7 linked regions of the Oryctolagus cuniculus genome follow. The protein of the gene in region 1 interacts with the protein of each later gene in a biochemical or structural test. Links are inferred from orthologs where the notes say so. Each region holds a gene or a part of one and is shown in the gene's direction. Other genes may lie near its edges. The genes, in order: GRB2, WAS, LAT, CSF3R, MAP2, PTPN11 and SPRY2.

Region 1 (3,416 bases):
TGTGTGTGTGTGTGTGTGTGTGGTGTTTGCAAGAGAAAGCAGTATATATGCAGTTTGGTACTATCCACCGTCTCACGCATCCACTGGGGGTCTTAGAACCCCCCGCAGCACACACACACACACACACAAACCACACTATGGATAGTGGGGGAGGGAATGCCAGGGCCACTGGATTGTCTTCCCCCAACCCCACTTGGTATCCTGCACTCCGGCTTCCTTGAAGCCCAGTCCTGCCACCTGCTGGCTGTTTTTGGAAAGTGTTGGCTTCTTTAGGCTTTAATACTGAAGGAGGGCCTTTGACGTTAAAATTATCTATTTACTTATTTGAAAGAGTTGCAGAGAAAAAGAGAAATCGGCTGCAATGGCCAGCACTAAGCCAGGCTGAAACCGGGAGCTTCCTCCCAGTCTGCCACGTGGGTGGCAGGGACCCAAGCACTGGGGCCTTCGTCTGCTGCTTTTCCTACGCCATTAGCATCCAGACTTGACCGTCGCTCGTATGGAATGCCAGCATTGCAGGCGAGGGCTTTACCTGTTATGGCGCAATACCGACCCAAAGGAGGGCTTTGAGGAACACGTGCTCACTGAGTCCTTGGAGGATTCAGCAGGGAACGGGACAGCAGGTGTCACTGGCAGCTCTGTGTTGCTGGCCAGCATTAAGGGGAGTGGATTTTCTGGCGATGGAGGGTGTGGGGACTTTGGTGCCTGGGCCTCTTTTGCTGTCCCAGTACATCCTTTTTCCCCCCACGGCCTTTATCCCGTGAGTAGAACTCAAATCCCCAAGTGGGAAATGACTGGAGTATTTCTGGTACCTGGAGCTTTGTTGAGCGTATCTGCTTCCTCACCTTATTTTCTATCCCACCTTTGAGATTTTAATTATTTTTGCTTGAAGCGTAGTTAATTAAGGTATATTCCTTGTCTTAAGTGAGGCTGATGTAGTTGGTACAGTGCAGGGCACAGCATGGGTTGGGACATTCCTTTTTTTTTTAAAGGTAATTTACATGAAGGGCAGAGTTGCAGAGACAGAGGAGATAAAGACAGAGAGCGGTAGGGGCGGCGGCGGGTGGGGGGGGTCTTCCATGCTCTGGTTACCTCCCCACATGGCCGCAATGACGAGGACTAGGCGGGTCTGAAGCCAGGATCCTCTTCCAGGTCTCCCACACGGCGGCAGGGGCCCCAGATATCGGACCATCTTCTGCTGCTTTCCCAGTTGCATTAGCAGGGAGCTGGGTCAGAAATGGAGCATCTGGGGCTTGAACTGACACCCGCATGGGATGCTGGTGCCACGGGCAGCGCCTCTGCGCAGTGTGCTGCAGCGCCGGCCTCATTCTCCATCCCATAAATGCCTGTAGAATTAGACCGAGTGGGGCCTGGCCTGTCCCGTGAGGGCTCTTTGTGTTGTTGCGGGTGACCGTCAGTCACGGTGAGGGTCTCGGCACGCTCAGCGGCCGTCCCACCCTCTCCAGCCAGGCTCAGTGGCGTGTAGCCAACCGGCCCGCAGGCTGTGAGGAGCGTTGCCAGACAGTGGCTTTCTCTGGACCCCTCCTGTTTGGCAGAGGGCCTCATGGGCCAGGCCAGAGCCCTTTGACCCACGTGCTGTGTTCTCTGCCCCACCCCCAGGTTTGGAAATGACGTGCAGCACTTCAAGGTGCTCCGAGACGGAGCGGGGAAGTATTTCCTCTGGGTGGTGAAGTTCAACTCCTTGAATGAGCTGGTGGATTACCACAGGTCGACGTCTGTCTCCAGAAACCAGCAGATATTCCTGCGGGACATAGAGCAGGTGCCGCAGGTAAGGCTGGGGCAGAGTCGGGCTCACCTCCAGCGGTTAGGAGCAGGTGCCTTTCAGAGGGTCACTTCCAGCCCCCGTGCTCAGGACATCACCCTTAGCTCACACAGAGGCCTGCGGTTTGCAGTCAGGTGTGTGGCTCGCTCACCACCTGTCTGTCAGCTATTCTGTCCCGGGAAGAAAACTGTGAGGGGTGTCCTGTAGGGAGGGTTGGGGCCTGTGCTCGCACCTGTGCGCCTGTCCCTGGCGGCCCAGCTGAGTCCACCACCTTATGTTTTCAAGCTCATCCAGATGTTTTGACTGCAAACCCTCGAGGGTGTTGGCAGCGACAGGAGCTCAGAGGTGTTGGATCCTGGGCTGTGCAGGAGCCCAGACTCCCAGGGGTGCTGACTATGCTGCTGACACGCCCTGGGGAGTGCAGCCCCCGAGCGTGGGTGCCCAGCGCAGGAAGGACTCCAGGCTCGGGGTGTCACACGCGTGTTTTCCCTGCTCCTCTTTTGCAGCAGCCGACGTACGTCCAGGCCCTCTTTGACTTTGACCCCCAGGAGGACGGAGAGCTGGGGTTCCGCCGGGGAGATTTCATCCATGTCATGGATAACTCTGACCCCAACTGGTGGAAGGGGGCTTGCCACGGGCAGACCGGCATGTTCCCCCGCAATTACGTCACCCCCGTGAACCGGAATGTCTAAGAATCAAGGGGAGGTTATTTAAAGCCGTGAAAAGTTGAAAACACGAAAGAATGACAGCCCCGGGCTGCCTCTCCCAGCAGCCTTGCAGGAGCCCGGACACCTGGCTGGGTCACCTCACGCCCGTGACTCTCTGACCTGGGTTGGAACTTCGGGGGGTGGGAGGGGGCATTGGATATAAAAATGCCAAAACTTACCTATTAAGAAAAGAGTTTTTATTACAGATTTTCACCGCTGCTCCTTTGCCCCGCCTTTGTCCTTTTTCTCGTCCTTTTTCTCCCGTTCTTCAGTGCATGACGTGTAAGGCCACGTATAGTCCTAGCTGATGCCAATAATAAAAGAAAAGAAACCACGTGCGCTGGTATCTTCTCTATGCAAAATGTCTGTTTAGTTGGAACAACTACTGCTGTGTTCTCCGTGCGTGCACACAGAAAGGAGCAGGCGGGCAGCTTCTGCCGGGTCAGGGTGGCGTCCGCGGGCCCAGCCTGGGGCTGTTCTGTCGGGGGTGGGAGGGAGGCGTGTCACCTGCCCCTCGGCTTCCTGAGAAAGTCGGACTGAAAGCCTCCGTCGCTGGCTCCACGTGGGAGCGGCGTCCCTGAGCATTGCTGTTTCCCATGGTGCCTTTCCCCATGTCCCGGGTTGCTTAGGAGGGATGTGTCTTACTTGTTTTGTTTTCAGATAAATTAAAGACAGTCCAAATTGGCCTTCCAGCCGGTTCGTCTCCCACTCTCTGTAAATCCTTTTCCCTCAGGGGAGGGGAAAGCAGGGTAGAGGGAGGAGACAGCGGAAGGCGGGGAGGGGGGCGTTCTACCCGTACCAAGCCAGAAGGCCAGGGTCTGAGGGAGCCGCCGGCCCTGGTGTGCCGGGGAAGGGCCGGCTGCAGCTCTACGGCGTCTGGCTGGATCTGAGTCCTTGCCTTGTGGTCCGGGTATTGTCTACCCTGCCGA
Region 2 (2,897 bases), on another chromosome or scaffold:
GATGGATAAGTGGGTGAATGGAGGGGCAAACGGGTAGGTATGTGGATGGATGAGCAGGTTCATGGACGTGTGGCTGGATGAATAAGTGCATAGACAGGTGGCAGATAGATGGCTGAGAGGAGGGGATGAATTTGTGGGACGCTGAAGGCATAAACAGATACATGACTGGGTGTGTAGATGTGTCAGTGAATGGGTTCGAGAATAAATGGATGATATGGGAGATTGCATGAAATAGGAAGTGAGTGAGTGAACAGTGAATAAATGACATAAAATTCCAGTCAGTGAAGAAAGCAATGATTGGATGAAAAATTGGGTCAGTGAATGAATAATTTAACAAATTAATGAGTAAGTGAATGACTGAGTCAATACTTTAAGTGATAAGCACGAATTAAATGGTTATTAATGGTTTATGGGATCCACCCATTTCTACATTGAACCACTTGGACCCCTCACTCATTTTCTCCATGACCCTCTCTCCCCACCCCCCACCCCCAGTCTTCCTGTTTCTTGCCCCTGTACTTGGTTGGTAGGTAAGTGGGTTAATGGTCCAGTCACCTTATTTTCTCCATAGGCCCACAAACTGGCCCACTGTCCTTGGGGCTGGTGACAGTGGACATCCAGAATCCTGACATCACAAGTTCACGATACCGTGGGCTCCCAGCACCTGCTCCTGGCCCAGCTGATAAGAAACGCTCTGGAAAGAAGAAGATCAGCAAAGCAGATATTGGGGCACCCAGTGGATTCAAGTGAGAACCTCTCCCCAGTAGATCTACCAATTCCTGGGGATGAAGGGGGGTGGCTTATGAAGAGCTGAACAGCTAGGTGGATGGAAGAACTGTCAGATGGATGAGCAGCTGGCTGCAAGGAAGGGACTACAGAGAGGCAAATAAGTCACATACCATGCAAAATTCAAGGAGGCAGTTGCTCTCAGGGTCGTGCAACTGGAATTCATGCCTCAGAGAGTGAGTGCCTCCTTAAATTTTGTAGCCTTGGCACCTGTCTCGTCTTACCTTAGTCCCTTAGTCCCATCCTTGGTAGGCTGGTGGACAAGTGAGGTTGATGGTACAGGAAGTGGATGAGTGGAAGGGTGGATGGATGGGTAGATGAATGAATGAGTAGGTGGGTGGATAGATGGGTAGATGACTTCAGTGGTGGACAGGTAGACGGATGGCTGAGCAGATGAGTGTGTGGACATTATAAGCTGAATGATTCGCAGACAAGGTGGATAGGAAAGGAGAGGTGGTCAGATATGTGGGTGAAGACAGTTCCGTAGATAAGTGAACAGAATGATGTGGTTGAATAGGCAGAAAAATGAGCGGCAGGATGGAAAGGGGGGCATAAGGGTAGATGGATGGGTGGACAGACAAGTGTGTATGAGGACAGATTGGTGGACAAGTGGGCAAATGGTAGGGGTGGCTCATGTGTGGGCTGATGGGGAGGGGCCGATGTCTGTAGAGATCAGTGATGCAAAGGATGGGTGTGAATGGATAGGTGGATAATTGAGTGGGTAGATGGTGGGAAGACAGGTAGACAGATCGACATCAAACCTACAGACCCCTTCTCTTTCTCTTACTGCTCACACTCGTGCACTCATTTAGACTCATTCACTAATTCTGCCGCTCAGGATCTGTTTGAGCAGGAGAGGGTAGGAGGGCTCACTAGGAAGGGAGGAAAGAAAGGGCAGTGGGGCTTCACTGGAGTCTCCTCACCTCCTCCAGACATGTCAGCCACGTGGGGTGGGACCCCCAGAACGGATTTGACGTGAGTAACTCCAAAGTCCCCTGGTACCCACTCAACTTCCACCCACCTTTTCCTAGATCACTGCTCAGAGCCCATATCCAAACCCCATGCTTCCCACATCCCTGGCCAGGATGGACCCAATGACAATTCCTATCCTCTCCCTCCTCACCTTATTCCTTCGCCCCTGCCTGGGTCCTTTTCCGGGGCAGGTGAACAACCTGGACCCGGATCTGCGGAGCCTGTTCTCCAGGGCAGGAATCAGTGAGGCTCAACTCACTGATGCAGAGACCTCCAAACTCATCTACGACTTCATTGAGGACCAGGGCGGGCTGGAGGCTGTGCGGCAGGAGATGAGGCGTCAAGGTGAGGCCCCTTCTCTACACCCGCTTCTTCTCCAGCCCTGAAGCCACCCAGTCCTTGCAGAACCCCCTGTTCTGCTTGAGTGGGGAATTGGTCAGGCGGAGGGACCCATTTTACAAATGAACAGAACTGAAGCTTGCAAGAAAACGACAATAATAGCAGCTGTGTGTTATTTTTCCCCCTACAGAGCCGCCCCCACCGCCATCTCGAGGAGGGAACCAGCCCCCCAGACCACCTCTGGCGGGGGGTAACAAGGGCCGTTCTGGTCCACTACCCCCTGTACCTTTAGGGGGCGCTCCGCCCCCACCCACGCCCCGAGGACCCCCACCCCCAGGCCGAGGGGGCCCTCCACCACCACCCCCTCCAGCCACTGGCCGCTCTGGACCACCGCCCCCTCCGCCCCCTGGAGCTGGGGGACCAGCCATTCCACCTCCCCCGCCCCCTCCCCCACCGCCACCCCCCAGCTCCGGGGATGGGCCAGTGCCTCCCCCGCCCCCACTTGCTCCGCTGTCTGGGGGTTGCATGGCCTCTGGAGGGGGTCGGGGGGCGCTTTTGGATCAAATCCGGCAGGGAATTCAGCTGAACAAGGTGAGGACCAGCAGAAGGGAGGACTGGGGTCTGGGACTCCGGGGTGTCAGGTGCAAGTCAGCATACAGGGAGGCGGAGGCTGAGACTGATGGGGGTGCCAGGCCTTGGGGTTTAGTGCTAAGCTTGGGAGGTGGGTGGGGAGCCTTGAAAGGGATTGACGTGTGGGAGGAAAAATTACAAAGAAGGGGCGGAAGAAGTACTGAAACTCT
Region 3 (4,623 bases), on another chromosome or scaffold:
CTTGACCCCTGTCACACCTGTGATCTCAGCCTAGGCTGAGCCATGGCCCTGTCCTGCGCCACCTCTCCCCCCCACCTCGCCGAGAGCCTCCACTGAGGCCCCTCCCTCCCCCCTCCCCCAGTACGTGGTGATCCCCACACGACGCTCCACCGCCGAAGCCTTCCAGATCGTGCTGTCCCACCTGCTGGGCGACGCTGGGAGCCCCTACCTCATCGGCCTGGTGAGCCTCACCCCGGGCTTGGGGGTCCTGTTCTCCCAGCACTGGCCGGTGGCCTACCTGGGCGGCTGCAGGCGCTGGGCACCCTATAGCCTCCCCTGGGTGGGGAGGGCTTTGTCTTGGCAGAGTCCCTGAGGGCCCACCCCTTTCCCATGGCTGTCCCGGCCGCCCCCGACGCTCCGCCCTGCCCCCCGCAGATCTCCGACCGCCTCCGCCGCAGCTGGCCGCCATCTTTCCTGTCCGAGTTCCGGGCCCTGCAGTTCTCGCTCATGCTCTGCGCCTTCGTCGGGGCGCTGGGCGGGGCCGCCTTCCTGGGCACCGCCATGTTCATCGAGGGTGACCGCCGGCGGGCGCAGCTGCACGTGCAGGGTCAGTGCGGGCCCCGCCCTGGCTCCCGGCCGCTGTCTCAGCGCTGGGGCTGGCGGCTCTGTGTCCTCCTCCTGGTGGTGGCTCTGCGGGTCTGCTCCAGCTGACCTTCCAGCCCTGGCTCTGACCCCGCCCCCCACAGGTCTGCTGGCCGAGGCAGGGCCCGCAGATGACCGCATCGTGGTGCCGCAGCGTGGCCGCTCCACCAGGGTCCCCGTGTCCAGTGTGCTCATCTGAGTGGCCGTCCCTCACCTGTCCGCACATCTGCCGCCGCGGGCCCTGGGGCCCGTCCCACGAGGTGCCCGGGCCTAAGCCCTCAGCCCGGCCCAGCTTCCAGGAGGGACCCTGGGCCCTGTCCAGCTCCCAGACACTACATGGGCAGCCTAGGGGAGGAGTTGGGGGTCTGGGGTGGGGAGGGGTGGGGTCCCCTCCACTGGAGCAGCCCCAGGGGGTTGGTGCTATTTGTAACCGAATAAACTTTGTAGCCAGACCCCAAGTGCCTACCTGAGTCTTTTGTCTGGATGCTGGTGACCCCTGACCTCTGGCTGGCCATCTCCAGCCCCAGGGCTCCTGGGGGCGGCGGGGGCGCTGCCGGGGGGCCACCGGGCCAGTCCCTGTGCTGTGGGGCTAAGCGCCCAGCAGTGAGGACCGCCGTGCCAGTGAGCTGGCTCCGTGTGACCCTGAGTCACGGCCGGGCTTACTGGAGCCCGCCCCCCCCTCCGCACACAACCCCTGGCCAGCCTGGGCGAGCTGGGGTGGGCGCTGCCCTCTGCCTGGCGGAATGCCTGCCGCCGACCCCGACCCCCGGTGGCTTGCCACAGGCCTTCACTCCCACGGAGGAGCTGCCCCTCGTCCCACGGGCAAGTGTCCCTTCGTGAGAACCCTGACGGGGAGGCCTCCCCCTCCCCACCGGCTGGGTGGGGGTGGGAAGGGGCGGTGCAGCGGGCTGGGAGCCCGATGATTTCCTGCCTTCACCCGGTGCTCACCACAGCTTCCTGCCGAGGACGGGCGCCGAGGCGAGGCGAGGCCAGGCGGGCGTCTGGCCCAGGGCAGGTACCGCTGGGGTGCAGGGACCCGTCTCACGCTTGCATGGCGTGGCTGGAGCCCTGGACCCCAGCCCGGGCCCTGGCCTGACCTAGGGGGCTAGGGTCCCCCAGAGCTTGCACAGAGCCCAGCCCCCACAGAGGGCTCCGCTGCCCCCTACCCCCCACCGCTGCGCCCTTCCCTGAGGACCTGGGCCAGGCTCTGCCCAGCAGATGGAGGTGAACGTCCTTGGACACTCGGCGCTGGGCCTCCTGCTGGGGCCGCTCCTGGCTGTGCTGCTAATGGCCCTGTGTGTGCGCTGCCGCCGGCTGTCAGGTGAGCAGGGGCTTGAGGGCGGGGGTGCACCTGCTGGAGTCGCTGTACAGTCCCCGGCCTCCCTCGCCTGCCTCCGCCTGCCACCGCCCCGAGCCCTGGCCCCTGCCTCACCAACCGCTCTCTTCCCCCAGACTCCTACAACAGTGCCTCTTCCTCGGATGGGTGAGTGGGTCCCCTCCGCCCCGTGCCTGTCCCCCGCAATTCCCCATGGAGGGCTGGGCTGGGGGTGGGGGGTCTTGCTCGGCTCCAGCCCCCACCTGTGTCTCTCTTGCCAGTTTGTATCCCAGGAGCATCTTGATCAAACCGCCCTGTGAGTAGTTGGAGGCGCCCCTGCCTCCGGGAGAGAGGCTCCCTCCGTTGGGTGTCCCCTCGTTCTAGGTTGCCCACATGGCCTTGGCTTGAGCTGGGATGGGGAGTGGGGGGCGGTCAGGGCACCAGGGCTTCGAGGAAGGCGGGAGATGCGGGTCGGAAGTCACTCTTCCCAGCTCAGCTCTGTGTCCTCAGATACCCCTGCCCCCTGGCCGGCTGTTACCTCCGTTCCACCCCTGAGCCAGCCAGACCTGCTCCCCATCCCGTGAGTAGCCCCCCAACTCCTTCGCCTCCAAATCTCTCTCTACTCCCTTGTTTTTCCAGTGCCCCCCGCCCCGCCCTGCTGTAACCCTCCTGGCATTGAGTGTGACCTCTGACCTTTGATTCCCAGGAGATCTCCGCAGCCCCCTGGGGATTCCCACCGGATGCCGTCTTCCCGGAGGGACTCTGGTGGCGGTAAGTGTGGCAGGGCACCCCCACTCTGCCGGGAAGGCAGGGGTGCCTCCAACTACTCACAGGGCGGTTTGATCAAACTCACAGGGATATACAAACTGGCAAGAGACACGGGTGGGGGCTGGAGCCGAGCCAGACCCCCCACCCCCAGCCCAGCCCTCCGTGGGGAATTGCGGGGGACAGGCACAGGGTGGAGGGGACCCACTCACCCATCCGAGGAAGCCCAACCCTGAGCTGACTCAGTTTCCCTCTTGCTCTCTCCTTGAAGCCCAGAGCGTGGCGAGCTACGAGAACGAGGGTGCGTTTGGGCTGCCGGGGGCGGCGGGGTTGGGGGGCCCAGCCGGGTGGGGAGGCGGGGGCCTGTCTCGGGCTGTGCTGAGCTCTCCCCACCCCGTGTCGTTGCCCGCAGAGCTGGCCTGTGAGGACGCGGATGAAGATGAGGATGAGGAGGACTCTCACAATGAGGGCTACCTGTGAGTGGCAAGGGGGCAGGTGGGCAGGTGGGTGCTGGGGCCCCGGGCGAGCTTCCTCACCCCCTCCCCCATTGGTTCACTCTCAGGGAGGTGCTTCCCGATGACAGCCCGGCCACCAGCGGCCCTGGCCCCTCCGCCCCTGCGCCCGGAAACCCTGGTCTCCGAGACAGTGCCTTCTCCAGTGAGTCAGGAGGTGCCGGGCCCCCCCCCCCCGCATGCTCCCCTGCCCTGTGAAGGTTTTAGCGACCCCGCTCCCCTGTGCTCCCTCTCCAGGGCTCCCCTGCTGCAGGTGCCGGACTTCTGCCCTGGCCTTGATTTCTCCTTTATTGTCTGGGAGATGTCCTTGCCTTTATTCGCAGCCCTTGTGCTGTATATATGTTTTCCCCTCCTATCCAGTTCTTTCTGGGTCTCTGCATGTTCCTTTTTTGTAGCCCCCTGTTCTTGTTTCATGGAGGCAATAGCATCTTGTACATTTCTGTTTTTTTTTTTTAACTAAAGATTAAAAAGAAATTTTGCAAAAATGTATTTTGAGAGGCAGTGGCTCAGATGCCGGCAACAGCCAAGGCTCAGCCTAACTGAAGCCTGGAACCTGGAACTCAGCCATGTGCGCGGCAGAAACCCAGCCGCTCGAGCCGTCCACGGCTGCCTCCCAGGGTACACCGCAGCAGGAAGCCGGAACTGGGAGTGGAGGGGGAGGGGCAGGGGGCTCCAGCCCAGGCTCTCTGAGCTGGGAATACAGGTTGTGGGCATCCCCCGCAGGGTCTTCACCGCTGTGCCCAGTGCCCACCGCCATCTGGTCGGTCTGAGGACCTGATGGTGTGTGTGTGTGTGTGTGTGTGCGCGCACACATGGCTGGGGGAGGGGGCGCCTTTTCCTCTGCTCCCCTTGGAGCTGCCTTTCTCCCTTCAGTTTGGTTTCACCCCGGGGCTTTTCTCGCCTGCTACGTGTGCTGGTCCCTGGCTCCCGCACCTGCAAGCTGCCGTCCCTCACCATCCCAAGTCCTGGGCTGCATCAGTTTGTCCCAGTGCTGCTTCCCATCCATCCATCCATCCATTCATTCACTTGTCACCCATTGTCCTGCAAATGCCTCCGTGGGGCTGAGGCCAGGCTGTGACAGCCACTGAGGCAAAGCACAGAGACTTCAGCGTCTCGTGCTGGCTGAGGGCTGCCACTTTATTTATTTGAGAGGCAGAGTTACAGAGAGAGAGAGAGAGACAGACAGACAGAGAGAGGTCTTCCATCCGCTGGTTCACTCCCCAGATGGCCGGAGCTGGGCTGATCCGAAGCCAAGAGCCAGGAGCTTCTTCCGGGTCTCCCACACAGGTGCAGGGGCCCAAGCACGTGGGCCGTTTTCTGTTGCCTGAGGTTGCACAGAGTGTTGGTGCTGGAGTTGGGTCTTGAGCTTGGGTGAGCGGCCAGAGTTGCTGGTTTTGAGGCCCGACCTGT
Region 4 (3,021 bases), on another chromosome or scaffold:
TGCTTGCATTTAAATGTGATTTGCCTGCACTTTGCATGTGCCCAGGAAGCTGCATGGGGACCTCTGGGGGAAGCCACAATGCAGGAGTCACCCATGCCCCAAAGGGTCAGCTCAGCGGATAGTTAAGTGCTTTCTGTACGCGCCAACTTGCTTCTTCCCTCCCCGCTTCCTAGAACCTGGCACAAGGGAACAGGGGGAAGGAGTGAGGGATGAAAAGCCTGGCCCCAATCTGGGACTCAGTTCTAGGTCCCATCCACCCCACTTTTGGAGGCTTGGCCTCACTCAAGATGAGCTGTGCACCTGCTTATCATTGCTTTTCTGCCACCCGTCACAGCCAACACCCCAGGAGGAAGAGAGCGGGCAAATCCAAGGGTATCTGGTCTCCTGGAAACCCTCAGGCCAGGCTGGGGCCGCCCTGCCCCTCTGCAACACCACGGAGTTGGGCTGCACCTTCCACTTGCCTCCAGGAGCCGGGGAGGTGGCCCTGGTGGCCTACAACACCGCTGGGGCCTCCCAGCCCGCCCCAGTGATCTTCTCGGAGCACAGAGGTACAGGGGGCTAAGAGCACATGATTACGGCGTGTGAGTTTGGAGGCCAGATTGCTGGGTTCAAAAGTCATCCTACCACTTGGTGACAGTGTGAACCGGGCAGGCGACGTCCCCTCACTGGCCTCACTGTTCATCTGAAAAATGGGATAACTGCCTGCTGGGGACTGCTGTGAGGAACACATTAACTAAGACACACGCCTGGCACAAAGGAACTGCTTGGTGCATGTTAACGTTCATGTCCATCAGAGCCAGGTTAAGGTGGTGCTGGTGTCTAGACTCACGCGCGCACACACACATACACACACACACACACAATCCATTCTGGCAGAGCATGGTCCGTGAGTTAATGGCTCAGTCTTAGGGGATCAGTCCTCAGCACCCCAGTATCCCCTAAACATGGGCCCGCACCAGGAGGACCACTGATCCCAATCACAATCGCAATAGCTAACACTTCCACCTCCCAGCTGTGTGGCCTTAGATAAGCTGCCTGACCTCTCTGCACCTTCTCATTGATAAAATAGAGACAATAGTACTACCTCCCTCCCTGGTGTGATGGTGAGTGAGCTAGCAAATACGAGGACAGCACGGGGCCTGGCTCTTACCAGCCCTAGCAGTCCTCATTCCCCTACTGCTACTCCGTACTTGGCCCCAAGCCAGGTTTGTCCTGTGCATCATCAGCTCACTGAATCTGCACCAGGACTCCGTGAGCTGGGTACTTGGGTCATTGTTTCCACGTCACAGATGAGCAAGGCTCAGATATCGACCCAACCAAGGTCGCCCAGCCTGGAAGTAGCAACGTCAGGATTCGAACCCAGGCTTCTGGCTCTGGAGTCTGGATTCTTTTCACTTTCGTTTCACAGTTTCCCACTCTGTCTCTCCAGGTCCACCCCTGGTTGGGCTCCATGCTGTGGGCCAAGACCCCCACAGCCTCTGGGTGGGCTGGGAGCCCCCCAGTCTTCAGCCTCAGGGCTATGTGATTGAGTGGGGCCCAGGTGCCCCCAGCCCCAGCAGCAGCAAGACCTGGAGGGTGGAGCAGGATGGGAACCTCACAGGGACTCTGCTTCGAGGTGAGGCGGGAGCAGTGGTGTGGGCGGGGCTGGGGGTGGGGCGAGGCAGTGCATTCCCATGGGGGGGGGGGGGGGCAGAGCCAGGGTAGGGAAGCAAACTCACTGTCCGTGTCACAGAGCCCCACGCCCAGGAAGTCCTTCCCATGAAGCACTCACTTCTGCACTCTTTCTGCAGCCCGGCCCCCGCATCCTTCCAGCTCTCCTTCCACTCCTCATCTTTCACACCCATCAAAGGACCTGAGAAAGACATTGCAAAGAGAGAGCTGAGGTTGGCTCCTGCGCAGGGCCTAACCCGAGTGCTGCCCCCTTCTCTCTGCACAGAGAACGTCAGGCCCTTCCAAGTCTACGAGATCGCCGTGACTCCGCTGTACCAGGCAGCCGTGGGACCCTCCCAGCACATCTATGCCTACTCCCAGGAGACAGGTTCACCTGCCGTCAGCCCCCCTCCCAGAGTCCTCTCCTCCCCAGCCAGCACCCAGCTGGGCCCCAGCAATCAGGAAAACGATGAGACAGTTCCCTCCCCCCTACTCTGGCCCTGCGGAGGCTCTCACCTGATCCCACCATTACCCACCCACCCACTCCCCCCCGCCCCGGTCTCCAGAGCTGGGCACAAATCAGGTGGTGAGGTGGGAAAACTTAGGCAGTGAATTTGGCAGGATTCCGGGAGCAAGTCTTGAAAAATCAATCAACCGCCCTGACAGGTGTCAGGTGCGATAGAAAATGAACGAGGGCCTGGCAGAAGTTCAGAGAGTGAATGGCAGAACCGAGTAGTGCTTTGGACAAAATCAGGTGTGGGAAAAGTCAGGGAGTGTGGTTTAAATGGAACCGGGTTCTAATCCTGGCTCAGCCACTTAGTAGCAGCAGGTGGAGTTCAGATACAGTCCCCGGAGAGGTGAGGCTTGGACATGAGCCCCCTCGGAATCCCTTTCCTCGCCCACTCTGCAGTGTTCCAGGGAGCCGCATGGAACCTTCCGCCCTGTGCCTCTGTCTTCCCACAGCCCCCTCTCACGCCCCGGAGCTGCAACTCAAGCACATTGACAGGACCTGGGCACAACTGGAGTGGGTGCCTGAGCCCCCTGAGCTGGGGAAGAGCCCCCTGACCCATTACACCATCTTCTGGACCAACACTCAGGACCAGTTATTCTGTGAGTCCACCCTCAGCTCCCTGCAGTCCCAGACGGCCTGAGGGGGTGCCCAGCACCATGGAGACGGCTCCAGCATCTGGGCCCAGCCTTACCCTGCACTCCACTTCCAGCCACCACTCTGAATGCCTCCTCCCACGGCTTTGTCCTCCATGGCCTGGAGCCGGCCAGTGTGTATCATGTCCACCTCATGGCTGCCAGCCAGGCCGGGGCCACCAACAGTACGAGTCTCACCCTGATGACCTTGGCCCTAGGTAAGGCATG
Region 5 (4,440 bases), on another chromosome or scaffold:
CACTCAGTATTGGACTGTGCAGGGCTGAAGAGAGGCTCTTATTGAGCAATTGCACATGTGTGCCAGGCCATGAATGGCAGCTGCTAACAGTGTAGCAGACTTCCCACTCCTGCTCTCTCTCCACATACTGCATATTATTTCCCAGTCTCCTAAGACTTCCTCCTAAACAGACTACCTTCTGAGGAGGAGCCCTAATTCCCTAACCTCCTTGTTACTGGGTGTGCCCTCATGTTTCCAACCTCATTCAAACATCACTAGGACACTTGAAAAAGTGAGGTGGAGGCCAGCAGGACACAAAGTGTGGGGTGTGACTGTGGAAGTTAAGATTTCACATCCTACTCTATCAGGCTTTCTTATCTTTGTAGCTTCTATTAATTGGGTTTCTTTTTCCATCTGAAAACTGAGGAAGTTGAACCAATGCCTAAGAAATCAGCTGTGATGTTCCATATTCTGTGTCTCATTTAAGTGGCAAAACCAGATGGCACCTGCTGTTTCATCAGCACTGTTGAAACTGTGTGGCCACACCTCACTACCTTGGCTGACCTTGAAAACATCTTGTCAGTACTCCCTACAAACACCTGATGTAATTTAAGGTTGCTTCTTACTTGTCTTAATAAAGTGCTGCTCTTTGTGAGGATTCCATAGTAAGGGATCATCTGATTTCTTGGTTGTCATTTCACTTTCAAAAGCGTTTATGAGGTGACTTCTTACATGGTGACATAGTAAGGTGTTTTCTGCGTGTTCTTATTTGTTGTGTCATTTTCCTTTTTCCTCAAAGACCATAAGAGAGAGGTAGCATGGCCATTTTCAGTCCTCTTCTGACACATTAATGCACGGGGATTTACATGGCATGAACTGTCTTCTAGAATGTGAAGTCTCTGAAGGCAGGGATCTTCTTTCCCGGGGGTGGGGAGTGCTAGCATCTGTTACATGCACTGATATTTCCACAGTGCCTAGAACAGCAGCCGATGCACCGCAGATCTCAGTAAATACTAGTTGAATGAACAATCTGATTAGTGACAGCTGGGTCTAGAATTCTCTGCGTCTCAGCCATTGCTCCTTTAGCGCTGACAGGAGTTGTCCTCTGTCCGCGTGCTTTCTTAGTTTTCTTTCGTTGATTCTTCCTGGATGCACCTGTCTTAGCTTTCTGGCTGCAAGGCCAGGGAGCTTCCTCCACTGAAGGGTCCCTGGAAGACACCCCCCCCCCCCGCCCCCTTACAGGCATACAGGGTAGGAAAGGAAGGGCGTCCAAGGCGGGCTCTTTGGTGACACTACCGCTATGGCCCCTGATTTCCAAGGCCCTTAGGGAAGGGGGTCTCGCTGGTGGGGGGCTGGGGCACCGGCCCAGCGTCCGTGGGCGGGGCTCCCGGAGGCGGGCTACCTCGCTGTCCCCGCGGGGCGGCCGGCTGGCTGCGGCAGGAGGCGGGGCGCCGCGCTCCCCCTCCCGGACACTGCGGCGGTGGCAGCGCCAGCCGGGCCTCAGCCGCCGACCGGCTCGCAGAGTCCGGCGGGCCCAGCGCGGGGCGGGGAGGAAGGGCCGGGGCGGGGCGGCGGCGCTGGGAGCCGGCGGCTGGGGCGCCGCGCTCAGACTGGGCGGGCGCGCGGGCTGCGCGGGCTCACGGCGGCGGCGGCGGCGGCAGCAGCATCCTCCCCTCTCCCTTCCCTTGCATTCTGCTCCTGCCGCTTCCCTCTCCTTCGTTCCCTCCCCCTTCTTCTCCCGCCCCGTTCTCCCCTCCACTCCTCCTGAGTGCATTCGCTCTCGCAGGTCCGTGAGCCGTGGCAGCCGCGACCGCGGGTGCGCCCAGTTCTGCGCTCAGGTAAGAGATTGTCCCCATCTCCTACTCTTAGAACGCCTCTCCTGTCTCCTGTGTGCGCGGAGGGAGCCCCAGCCCGGGATGAGAGGTGGCAGTGGGTAGCGGGTTGTCCGCAGCTCTCGGACTGGAGAGCTGGCACAGGTCGGCCGAGCTGTCCTGTCTCCCACCTGACGGAGGCGCCTGGCCGGACCTCTCCAAGTGTCCCGGGTCCGGGCACTGGTACCTGGGCTCTCGGCTTGTCTTGAGAAGCCAGTGATCTTATTAGGTACCAGGTTGAAACGCCTGGAAATTCACATTGGATAAGGATACATGTTTGAGCGCTAGCATTACCTGAGCCTTAGAAAACAGGGGAGGAGATTGTACAACGAAAATAGAAAACAAAAAACCTCGAGGTAGAGGCTTTTTAAAAAGCATTAGCTGCAGAGAACCTCACTGGACTGTGTGTGAGAGAAGCTTTGTCCATTGCAAACTATATCCCCCTCTGTCAGTCCTCCAGAGACAGCTGAGAGGAAGACGAATAAATATTTATAATTTTAGGAAAATGAAGAAGTCAGTGTGATGGTGTAGGAGGGTGGGGCACGGAGAAAATGAGTCTGCTTTAGCCTGAGCTCCCACATCGTCTTTCTTTCTTTCTCCTCTATAACCGTAGAGGTAGAACCCTACATTCGCGGTCCCTCAACTCTTTTTCTTGTTAAAAGGTGTTTTTTTTTTTTTTTGGGCGGGGGGGACCACAGCGCAGGCTTCCTTTCCTTCCCAACCTCGCCTTTTGTTTAAGGATGGAAATTTCAAGAAACAGCGCGTGGGGGACCAGGAGGGAGGAGGTGTGTGTTTGGGTGTGTGTGGTGGGGGAGGGGTAGCAAAGCTGATGGAGTAGGGGAGATACACCATCCTTGAAAACGGAAAATTCATGTTTTTCTGCTGGGCACCGGGCCTCCAGGACTTAGAAAATAGAAAGCTTTGATAGCAGCAAGGCCGTTTAAGACAGTTACTGTGTACCTTTTGCCTTAAGCCCTTAGTAGAATGCTTCCAGTACATAGACCTTTTTAAAACCGAATTGGTGTGAAGGGGTTCTGTTTCAATGAACACACACACACCCACACACACACACCCACACACCCGTATACACACGTATCATGTACTATGTACATCTTCCAAAAGGGAGTTGATGCTTAAAAGACAAATCTTTTGAAATTTCTCTGAGGATTTGAGGACTATACTGTGAATGAAAGCTGTAGCGAAAAATTAACCGAATATTGCTGGTGGTATGTAAGCCTGGATGTGAGGCAAAGGGGCTGGCTGGTCAGTGTTGGGAAGGAACTAGGTTAAATGTTAAAGATATAATTTATTGAAAAATGATCAGCCTGAGAGGAAATGACTGCAAACTGAAATTGAGGTTTGCAGCCACAGTGAGGCGATGGAGAACAAAGCCTTTTATGTGAGCCACATTATGCAAAATGTCCCATACATGAGCTGTAGGTACCAGCCCAGTTTAAAAGCATAGCTCTGTCACTCAGTCATGTCACTGTGGGCAATTTAGGATATTTTTGGCAGTCAGAATAGATTAAGCAAATAGAAACCATTTAGATCACTTTTGATGTTATGCCTAAGAGGAAGATTGGTGTTCCAACCGAATGTAAAAAAATACACCCTTTAACTGAGTAATAACTATCTGTATTTTAGTAGAATTCTTCTCAATTTATAAGTCACAGGTGTTTCAATCAACCTCCATGTACAGAAAGCAAATCCCCTTCAAGAAAAGGTAAAAGGTGTTTTTTTTCTTCAATAAAGAACATTGTGTTTGTGCATGTGTGTACATGAGAATTAACATGGATTTCCTGGAGTCTTTATCTGATTATCATAGATTTATATCTGCATTCTTGGTTTATGTACTATCAGAGCCATTGTGGTTTTAGAATCAGGGGCACATGCTGTTTATAGTTAATTCTTTTATACTTCATAGGTTGGTATAATATTTAATTTCTAAAGTTTTTGTTTTTTTAATCAGCAAGTGGATAATTATTTAACATCTATGTAGAGCGTCAAGAATTTTAAAAACTGAGGTCTCTTTCTAAAACATAACAAATTATAATACTTTCTATTTTCTCTGTTATTCTGTTCATTTTTACCCTCTTATCAAACCCGTTGGTTCCTGGCTGGGCCTCTGCTGCCTTAGGCATCTAGTTCTGTCTAGACGCCCAGAAGCAGAGCCTGTGTTCTCAGGAATTTTGACTGTAGGATGTGTTCATTCTCTGCAGCAGCTCTTTCGGGATGACTTGTTTACAGCACCTTGTCAGGGAGGAGAGGCAAGAGGAATGTGCTGAGAGAGCATGACCCAGTGAAACTGGCACAGCCATTACCTCATCCTAGTAGGTACTTCAGATTCATTGAAAGAGCAGGCATCCTCTCAGTGGAAACCAGACACCAAGAGCACACCCATTTCAGGGCAAAAGCCTTTCTTTTCCCATAGCAGCCTCTACTAATGTTGTTCTCCTGAGGCTAAGGGGATATTTTCTCTTTTATGTGTTTCTTTGCAGGGATCTTGAACTTGGTCAGAAGTATGCAGCCAGAAATGAAACTTGGCACAGAATACGGCTAAGCCTGAAGGAACAATTTCATTCCTTTACTC
Region 6 (3,851 bases), on another chromosome or scaffold:
TCTGCCAAATGCCTGCCCCTGCAGTGTTTTATTAGAACTTCCTTATGTGGCTATGATAGAAAAATTGGTCTTTTAAGAGTGGGCAATCAAAAAGGGCAAATTGCGTTTTTAAAAAATGAGAGATTTGGGGCCGGTACTGTGGCCCAGCAGGTTAACGCCCTGGCCTGAAGCGCCAGCATCCCATAAGGGCGCCGATTCTGGTCCCGGCTGCTCCTCTTCTTTTTTTAATTTTATTTATTTATTTATTTTTTTATTTTTTGACAGGCAGAGTGGACAGTGAGAGAGAGACAGAGAGAAAGGTCTTCCTTTGCCGTTGGTTCACCCTCCAATGGCCGCCGCGGCCGGCGCACCGCGCTGATCCGATGGCAGGAGCCAGGTGCTTCTCCTGGTCTCCCATGGGGTGCAGGGCCCAAGCACCTGGGCCATCCTCCACTGCACTCCCTGGCCACAGCAGAGAGCTGGCCTGGAAGAGGGGCAACCGGGACAGAATCCGGCGCCCCAACCGGGACTAGAACCCGGTGTGCCGGCGCCGCAAGGCGGAGGATTAGCCTAGTGAGCCGCGGCGCCGGCCTCCGGCTGCTCCTCTTCTGATCCAGCTCTCTGCTATGTCCTGGGGAAGCAGTAGAAGATGGTCCAGGTCCTTGGGCCCCTGTACCCAAGTGGGAAACTTGATAGAGGCTTCTGGCTCCTGGCTTCATATGGGCGCAGCTCTGGCTATTGTGGCCATTTGGGAAGTGAACCATCAGATGGAAGACCTCTCTCTCTCTCTCTCTCTCTCTCTCTCTGCCTCTCCTCTCTCTGTGTAACTCTGACTTTCAAATAAATAAATAAATCTTTTTTTTTTTTTTAAATGAGAGATTTAATTGAAAAACTGGAAGACATTTGTCTCCAAATGACTGTGGGCTCTTTTAAAAAGTCGAGTGGTCATTGTAACATTTTTGTCATTTTCCCGTCTTCCTGGACTGCAAATTCTGTCTTATGTGAGATTGATGAGTCCCTTGCCGGGACTAATTCGTAATTGTCTTAGGAGAGCTGACTATATATGGTAGTTTTTTGTTTATTTATTTATTGATTGATTGCTATTTCCTTGAAATTTATATAAACTTTCTATATAATCTGCCATACAGTGCCATGTGCCATGCTTAAAAATCATTTCAGACTGGCCGGTGCCGTGGCTCAGTAGACTAATCCTCCGCCTTGCGGCGCCGGCACACCGGGTTCTAGTCCCGGTCAGGGCGCCGGATTCTGTCCCGGTAGCCCCTCTTCCAGGCCAGCTCTCTGCTGTGGCCCGGGAGGACAGTGGAGGATGGCCCAAGTGCTTGGGCCCTGCACCCCATGGGAGACCAGGAGGAAGCACCTGGCTCCTGCTTTTGGATCAGCGCGGTGCACTGGCTGCAGCGCGCCAGCCGCGGCGGCCATTGGAGGGTGAACCAACGGCAAAGGAAGACCTTTCTCTCTGTCTCTCTGTCTCTCTGTCTCTCACTGTCCACTCTGCCTGTCAAAAAAAAAAAAAAAATCATTTCAGTGATGAGAAGGATGCTTTGTATCCAGAACATACGTGTGGACGATCATATGAAATCATAGATAGGATCTGCAAAATATCATACGAAATTGCAAGAGCAAGCCAGTTAATCCAGTGGCATACTGTCTTGAGTAGGGAAAATGTGGTGAGGCTATGAATTTTGCTTGTGAATGAATGAGGCAGTGGTCCTCACCTGGGGTTTTACTCTGCAGGAAACGTTAGCAATGACTGGAGTGTTTACGGTAGTTTTAGAAAAGAATGTTGTGAACTGGCAGTGGAACTCAATTTGTTTTCATTCTTAAAACCAGGTGGTTTCACGGGCACCTCTCTGGGAAAGAAGCAGAGAAATTATTGACTGAGAAAGGAAAACATGGCAGCTTCCTGGTCCGCGAGAGCCAGAGCCACCCTGGAGATTTTGTTCTCTCCGTCCGCACTGGCGACGACAAGGTGGAGAGCAATGACGGCAAGTCCAAGGTGACCCACGTCATGATTCGCTGTCAGGTAATGCTCCGCCCGGCCTGCAGGGCTGCAAACTGTCACCCTGGGGGGTTTTCACCTGCGAGGAGACAGATGCTGTGCGGCCCAGGTCAGCGTTTCTGCGCTTAGTCAAGGGCTTCTGCACTTGTGGTATGTTGATTATAACTGTTTCAGGATTTCAAAACTCTTTTGAGTTATTTACTTCCAGGTTATCTCTGGCAGATTAAATCATGCCTAACAACCCCCTCTCCCCCCATGATGGGAATGCTTGAGATCTACTCTTCTAGCAAAGTCCAGTCTGACAAGACGTTTTTACTGACTGTGGCCCCTGCGCTTCCGCATCCTACTGAAAGCTGTGCACTCTGGCCAGCCCCGCCCCTTGCCCCAGCCCCTGGTGACCACTGTTCTGCTCTGTGTCACCATGGGTGTGTTTTTAGCTTCCAGTTGTGAGTGAGCTCATGAAGTGTTTGCCTTTCTTTCCTGGCCTTTTACACTTATGTAATGTCTGCAAGTATAATGTTGTCACACATGTCAAGATTTGCTCCCCCTCCCCCCTTTTATGGCCGAATAATTTTCCAGTGTTTGTGCATGCACACATATACATACACACACCACATTTTAAAATAAAGATTTATTTATTATTTGAGAGGTAGAGTTACAGAGAGAGAGAGAGAGAAAGGTCTTCCATCCACTGGTTTACTCCCCAAATGGCTGCAGTGGCTGCAGCTGGGTCGATCTGAAGCCAGGAGCTTCTTCCGGATCTCCTGTGTGAGTGAAGGGGTCCAAGCACTTGGGCCATCTTTCACTGCTTTCACAGGCTATAGCAGAGAGCTGGATCGGAAGAAGAGCAGCTAGTACTTGAACCAGCACCCCTATGGGATGCCAACACCACAGGCAGAAGCTTAGCTTTCTGTCCCATAGCACTCCCCCCTCCCCCATTTTTATTCATCTGATCCGTTGCTGGACGTGTAGGTTGTTTCTGTATCCCATCTATTGTAGATATTGCTGCCGCGAACACAGGAATGCAGGAAGCACAATAGTTAAACACAAAGGTAATACATGCCGTCTTTTTGTCTTGAAAGGAACTGAAATACGATGTTGGTGGAGGAGAGCGGTTTGATTCTCTGACAGATCTGGTGGAACATTACAAGAAAAATCCTATGGTAGAAACCTTGGGCACAGTGCTGCAACTCAAGCAGGTAAGTGGCTCAGAAAGCTACAGCTCCTTCTCCTTTTAAAGTTTTGAAACCCCAATTTAGAGTTTTCCGAACTTACAGGGGTAGACAGAGTAGCGCTGTCAACGTCCATGTGCTCGTTCTTCAGCCTCAATTGTAACTGATTCTTTAGTCCTTCCTTCTGTATGCTGTGTTCACTGGCCACCTCCGTGGTGTCTGGAAACCAAGTCCAGATGTTGTGGAATTCCACTGGTGTCTGTGAAGAGCCTGATGGCTTTAGAGGAAGCTTTCAGCATGGATCCACTCTGGTTGTTGTTAGGTGACCACATGGACATTAAAGTTGTTGCTATTTCGGAGTTCACCCTTATGACAGTGGCAGATGATAGAATTTTTCAAAATAATGTTGTGGTCTATTTATAAAGAAAAATAGGATTGAATTTTTATCAGCAGAGTAATGTGTGTGTGGAATTGAAGAAAGTTTCGTTTCCTAGCAGCACAGAAGAGAAGGTGAAACTGCATTTGAAAACTTAAATAAATTATTATTATTTATTTTCATTTTATTTGAAAGAGAGTCAGAGATAGACAGAGAGAAGGCTTCTATCTGCTGATTCCCTTCCCAAATGGCCACAACAGTCAGGACTGGGCCAGGCCAGAGCCTGGAACTCAGTTTGGGTTTC
Region 7 (4,425 bases), on another chromosome or scaffold:
CCATCTCTGGTTCCAAATCCCAGGGGAGGAAGGAAGGGAGCCCTAGAGAAACATGGAGAAGGCAGGGAGAGCGCCAGGGACATTCTGCAGCAGGAACCCGGGGTCGCGTGGAGGAACGAAGCGCCATGGTGGACCCCCGTGTGGGGCAGAGCTGTGCAGGTGCTGCTCGGGACCTGCGACCTAGCAGGCAACTGCTTCCCCGCCTTTAAGTCCTCAGAATGCGCGGTTAGAGGTGTGCGTGCGCGCATTTCGATCCGCCACCGGGGCTCCCACGTGCAGGCACGTTTCTGAGCAAATGCACGTGCATATGTATAGGACTTTCTACTGAATGCCTTCAGCACGGGCCGTGGGGGCTTCCGGAGAAGGGTGGGAAGGGACAGATGACTGCTGACCGGGCCGCGGAGAGACCCGCGCCGGGAGCGCCCTCCCCCCACCCCCATCTCGGAAGCCCACGACAGCGCCCCGAGATCGCCGAGCTGACTTTGAAGAGCAAGGCTGCAGCCTCTCCCTCGGCTGCTGCGTCCGGCGACGCAGAGAGCTCTCCCTGCAGCCACCGTCTGTCTCCCTTAAAACACGAAAATTCTAATAAACTCCCAGTCGCCACAATCCAGCCTGAGCAGGAGGTACTTGAAACCCGAATCTGCATTCCGCTCCTCTCGTACAAGGCTCGGAGGTGGGGGAGGCGCGGCTGGGGCCGGTGCCTGGTGTATAATCGGGTTAATCCGGGAGACAAAGAATAAACCAATAGCCCTCCCACCGCACTTCCCGCTCCCCTTCCCCCACCCCCACCGTGTAGAGGGGGAGCAGCCGAGGGGCGAGCAGACTCGAAATGGATTCCGGATGAAGTCTTAAAAACCTGCAACTTGTTTTTCATTGCTAACGCGGCACGGCCCCGATCAGTCTCTCTGGCGGCGAGAGAAAGTTCCATAAATCAGTCCGAGCCTCCGGCTCATCCTCCTGGCCTCGGGGGGTGTCAGGGGTGGGGGTTGGGGGGGGCCTTAAGGTCAGTGTTTCCTTGAAGCTGGATAAACCGACCCCGTCGCGCGCAGCCGGGCTCCGCGGGCGCCCCGCGGGACGGCAGGAGCGGCCCGGGGACGCGCGGGGCGGCGCGGTTGCCCTTTTGAATGCCTCCTGCGGCTCGGCGCGCTGGCGGGCGCTGGAGTGTGAGTGAATGTAGCCCCGCGGAGCCAATGAGCTGGGACCGGATGCGATATATCCTCTGGGACAACAACTGCTCTGTTCCGCCTCGGATCCACATGACGCCATTTACTGCTGCCGCGGCCGCCGCAGAACTCCCTGCCTCCTCCGGAAAGGCGAGGGCGCAGGCCAACAGCGAGCCCCCCCGGCCGGGCCCCAGACCCCCCTCCTCCTCCGCCTCCTCCTCCTCCGCCTCCCCCTCCTCCTCCTCCTCTTCCTCCTCCTCCTCGGCACCCACCGCCCCCGCCTCGGCCTCGCTGCCGAGCCTCCACAACGCCCAGTCTGCACCGCCCAGAGCTGCGCGCCGCAGCGCGAGCGGAGGAGAGGGGCCGGCGGAGCGCGCAGCGCCCAGGCCCCCGCGCCCGCCCGGCCCGGCTCGCGGCCGCCCGCGCCTCCGTGCCACCGCTGCGCCGACGCGGCCGGGGCCGCACGCCTTGGCGATCTGGCTTCTAGGGTCTTTCTGTAAGGCCACTTTATTTTCTCATTCGCTCATCTGCCAAGAACGGGGACTCGCTGTTGGCGCTTCGGCCTCTTGTTCATTGAGAAAAAAAAAAAAAAAAAAGGAAATACTCCGCGTGCGCTTCTGCAAGGGGGCTCGCCTCCAGCCCTGAAACCCGGAGTTGTTCATCGGCGAGGGACTTGGCTCCGAATTTTTCGCTCGTATTTTTCTGTTTTGTTTTGTTTCCTCCCGCCGATTGCTCGAAAGTTGGACTGAAGCAAAGTTTGGAAAAAAAGGGGGGAAAAAAAGTTTGCATCGGGGCTGGATTTATTTGCACATCGCAGAAAGAAGAGACTCCAAGGGAGAGGGGTTGGTGCAAAGCCGCGATCACGGTGAGGCGCGTTTCGCTCTTCCTCTGCTGGCGCCGTGGCTGGCGCGGTGTGGGCAACATGGAGTAGGTGCAGTTGGACCGGGAGTGGGGTCTGCCTCTCCCCCGAGCCTCGCTTTCTCAAACCCCGCAGGTTGCCGGCGAGCTGCCGGCAGATTTCCCTGGCCGAGGACCTGGGCTCGGCCTGCCTGGGAGGGGGCTGCAGTGTGCGCCCCGAGCGATGTCCCCCAGCCGGCGACCCTGCGCTCCCGCGCGCTGTGGGCTTGGGTCGGAGGACGGCTCTCCCCTGGTCTGTTCCCAGCCCTGCGTCGACCGCGAATTCGGCGCTGAGAGCGGGAGACGGAGGGAAAGCACTTTGTGCTTCTCTGGCCGCCGTTGCGGGCGCTAGCATTTCTAACCTGTTCCTCCCTCCTTGCGAGGCAAAGTTTTCTGGGGGAGCCTGTCCCGGGGCGGGGGCGCCGGTGGGGCCGGGGTGCGTGGGGTGCTCGCCCCACGCGGGCAGTAGGCCCCGCGGGTGGAAAAGGGGCGAGGGTGCGTGGTGCAGGCAGCCCCCGCCGCTGCCCTCTGTGGACAGTCTGGCCCACTGAGGGTGGGAGCGTCGCCCAGCCTGGCGCCGAGGCTCTGCGGTTCGGAAGTGCAGCTTTCTCCTTTTTCCGTTCCCCGTGATCGGCCTGGGTCACGCTTTTTTTGGGGGGGGGGGGGTGGAGGGGAGAGCTTGGGTTGACCTAGTACATTAGGAAAGTCATCGAGTGTGTGCGATCGTTTTGCATGACCTGAAAGTAGGTGGCAGATGAGGCTCGTTTGTAAGTTCTCCGGTTTATGTTGTAGTCGCTGTCGTTTAATTTGGGATCTTGTGCACTTTTTTTTTTTACAAAGCGGTTTCTGTGTCGGTTTGCCCCACCCTAAGTGCTGAAGTCCTTTCCCCCCCTAATCCTCAGTCTGATCACACACTGTTCTTAATGGGGTTTTCAAAGCACTTCGAGAGGGAGGGGGGACCGGGGAGACGGGGAGAGAGCCGAGGGGGAAAGGGGGGGCTGCAAGGAGGAGGCCGGGGATCGGCAGAAATCACTTTTTTTTTTCCGCTTCCCAAAGATGCTACTTTACACTGTATGCAAATCTACCTCTAAAGTTTCCAACCCAGGGACTGGATCCTGCACGCCTGGCGTAGGCTCTGGGCCCTGGGGGAGGGGGACGGGTTATTTTTTTTTTTTTTTTTAATTAAACTTTAAGAAACAGATCATTCCTGTTTCCCTTCCCCTCGACCCAGGAGACCGGCGTGCGCGCTACAAGCCATGCCCGCTTCAGTCGGTGCGGCGTGCAGTGGCCGCGTGCGCGTGGGTCAGACTCCCCGGGCTCCATTGGAAACCTGAGCTCCACGTTCGCGGACCCCTGCAGACGCGTCGTGGGCTGCGTGACCTCTGCCTGCTGGTGCGCGGCTCCCTCTTGGGGCTGGCAGGCGGTTCTCGGGAGCTGGGGAGGGGCAGGCGGGGGAAGTGTGCTCGTGCGTTTCATGACACGTCCCCTTCCGAGGCGCCCGCGCCCCCCGCCGGTCGGTGCGTCTCGGCCCCGGCGCGGCGGGGCTGGGGGCCCCCTGGCCCCTGGACAGCGTCAGTCAGCCTGGAGAAAAGTCCCCCGGGCTCCGGCTGTGTCCCACCTGCCGGGGACGGTGTCTGGGCGCAGATAGAGCCGATAGACCGAGGGGAAGCCGAGCGCCGCGTTGTCCTGTGTGCTTGTCCTGCTAGAGGTGAGGAGATCCGGTTTCCAGGCGCTGCCTGGTCGCGAGCTGGGAGGCGATTGTCACCTGCCTCGCTCACCGCGGCGCTGCCTTTTGTAAAAAGCGGAGGTTGGGGAAACATGCACTTTTGCCCGTTTTGACTTTTTAATGTTCGTGTAGTGTTGGGAACGGGGATGGTAGTTTTGAGACTTAAAAGGGGCTGCGAGCCACGGGTTTGCTGGACAGAATGCTGGGTTTGAGATGTGGCGCTTGGGTTTTTAAAACACGTTTCCTGTACTAACGGTGGGTTTATGCTCTCGACTGTTAACTTTCCGAGAGGAGAAAAGTTAAGATTTTGACACATTTTATGCCTAAAACGGGGAGAACAGCCTTTAGCTGCAGACCCTGAGGTGTTCCGGGCTATCAGGCTGTAAAATGAGCCCCAGGTTGCTGAGAACTTGAGAATAAGTCCCTGTCTTTCTTGTTCCTCGTTGTGTACCTCTGCTGTGATCTGTTCCTGGCACCTAACAGCGTTTGATTTGATTTGTTTTTAGTTCTGTAGCTTGCCCTTCTAGGTAGTTAATAAAAATGGCACATTGTTGTTAAATTTGTGACTGTTCTTGGGACGTTTGCTTTTTTTGCATGTCATCTTCATCCTGCAGGACTGAAAAGGTCACAGAATATTGG

What was found.
Region 2: the proteins of GRB2 (region 1) and WAS form a complex in vitro, tested with the Homo sapiens proteins (2 studies listed by BioGRID). The link is inferred for Oryctolagus cuniculus from reciprocal best matches to the Homo sapiens genes GRB2 and WAS.
Region 3: the proteins of GRB2 (region 1) and LAT form a complex in vitro, tested with the Homo sapiens proteins (3 studies listed by BioGRID and IntAct, with this or other methods). The link is inferred for Oryctolagus cuniculus from reciprocal best matches to the Homo sapiens genes GRB2 and LAT.
Region 4: the proteins of GRB2 (region 1) and CSF3R form a complex in vitro, tested with the Homo sapiens proteins (2 studies listed by BioGRID, with this or other methods). The link is inferred for Oryctolagus cuniculus from reciprocal best matches to the Homo sapiens genes GRB2 and CSF3R.
Region 5: the proteins of GRB2 (region 1) and MAP2 form a complex in vitro, tested with the Homo sapiens proteins (3 studies listed by BioGRID and IntAct). The link is inferred for Oryctolagus cuniculus from reciprocal best matches to the Homo sapiens genes GRB2 and MAP2.
Region 6: the proteins of GRB2 (region 1) and PTPN11 form a complex in vitro, tested with the Homo sapiens proteins (4 studies listed by BioGRID, with this or other methods). The link is inferred for Oryctolagus cuniculus from reciprocal best matches to the Homo sapiens genes GRB2 and PTPN11.
Region 7: the proteins of GRB2 (region 1) and SPRY2 form a complex in vitro, tested with the Homo sapiens proteins (2 studies listed by BioGRID and IntAct, with this or other methods). The link is inferred for Oryctolagus cuniculus from reciprocal best matches to the Homo sapiens genes GRB2 and SPRY2.

Annotation. Positions count from the first base shown.
Region 1 is NC_091448.1:5,230,408-5,233,823, forward strand, and holds the end of GRB2 (growth factor receptor-bound protein 2), read left to right. Parts: intron 1-1,617; coding exon 1,618-1,786; intron 1,787-2,286; coding exon 2,287-2,472; 3' UTR 2,473-2,821; downstream 2,822-3,416. UniProt on the Homo sapiens protein: Non-enzymatic adapter protein that plays a pivotal role in precisely regulated signaling cascades from cell surface receptors to cellular responses, including signaling transduction and gene expression.
Region 2 is NC_091453.1:33,876,105-33,879,001, forward strand, and holds part of WAS (actin nucleation-promoting factor WAS), read left to right. Parts: intron 1-571; coding exon 572-746; intron 747-1,718; coding exon 1,719-1,761; intron 1,762-1,949; coding exon 1,950-2,103; intron 2,104-2,287; coding exon 2,288-2,897. UniProt on the Homo sapiens protein: Effector protein for Rho-type GTPases that regulates actin filament reorganization via its interaction with the Arp2/3 complex. Important for efficient actin polymerization. Possible regulator of lymphocyte and platelet function.
Region 3 is NC_091450.1:7,782,649-7,787,271, forward strand, and holds the start of LAT (linker for activation of T-cells family member 1), read left to right. Parts: upstream 1-1,588; 5' UTR 1,589-1,839; coding exon 1,840-1,942; intron 1,943-2,073; coding exon 2,074-2,104; intron 2,105-2,217; coding exon 2,218-2,252; intron 2,253-2,446; coding exon 2,447-2,516; intron 2,517-2,642; coding exon 2,643-2,707; intron 2,708-2,972; coding exon 2,973-3,177; intron 3,178-3,263; coding exon 3,264-3,358; coding exon of another isoform or gene 3,359-3,370; intron 3,371-4,623. Other genes in the region: SPNS1 (protein spinster homolog 1), read left to right, coding at 122-220, 415-586, 726-820. UniProt on the Homo sapiens protein: Required for TCR (T-cell antigen receptor)- and pre-TCR-mediated signaling, both in mature T-cells and during their development.
Region 4 is NC_091438.1:136,224,801-136,227,821, forward strand, and holds part of CSF3R (granulocyte colony-stimulating factor receptor), read left to right. Parts: intron 1-334; coding exon 335-548; intron 549-1,429; coding exon 1,430-1,615; intron 1,616-1,936; coding exon 1,937-2,038; intron 2,039-2,613; coding exon 2,614-2,760; intron 2,761-2,870; coding exon 2,871-3,011; intron 3,012-3,021. UniProt on the Homo sapiens protein: Receptor for granulocyte colony-stimulating factor (CSF3), essential for granulocytic maturation. Plays a crucial role in the proliferation, differentiation and survival of cells along the neutrophilic lineage.
Region 5 is NC_091434.1:30,478,781-30,483,220, reverse strand, and holds the start of MAP2 (microtubule-associated protein 2), read left to right. Parts: upstream 1-1,591; 5' UTR 1,592-1,817; exon of another isoform or gene 1,818-2,096; intron 2,097-4,440. UniProt on the Homo sapiens protein: The exact function of MAP2 is unknown but MAPs may stabilize the microtubules against depolymerization. They also seem to have a stiffening effect on microtubules.
Region 6 is NC_091452.1:9,757,495-9,761,345, forward strand, and holds part of PTPN11 (tyrosine-protein phosphatase non-receptor type 11), read left to right. Parts: intron 1-1,830; coding exon 1,831-2,023; intron 2,024-3,081; coding exon 3,082-3,198; intron 3,199-3,851. UniProt on the Homo sapiens protein: Acts downstream of various receptor and cytoplasmic protein tyrosine kinases to participate in the signal transduction from the cell surface to the nucleus. Positively regulates MAPK signal transduction pathway. Dephosphorylates GAB1, ARHGAP35 and EGFR.
Region 7 is NC_091440.1:31,925,857-31,930,281, forward strand, and holds the start of SPRY2 (protein sprouty homolog 2), read left to right. Parts: upstream 1-1,350; 5' UTR 1,351-2,028; intron 2,029-3,081; exon of another isoform or gene 3,082-3,768; intron 3,769-4,425.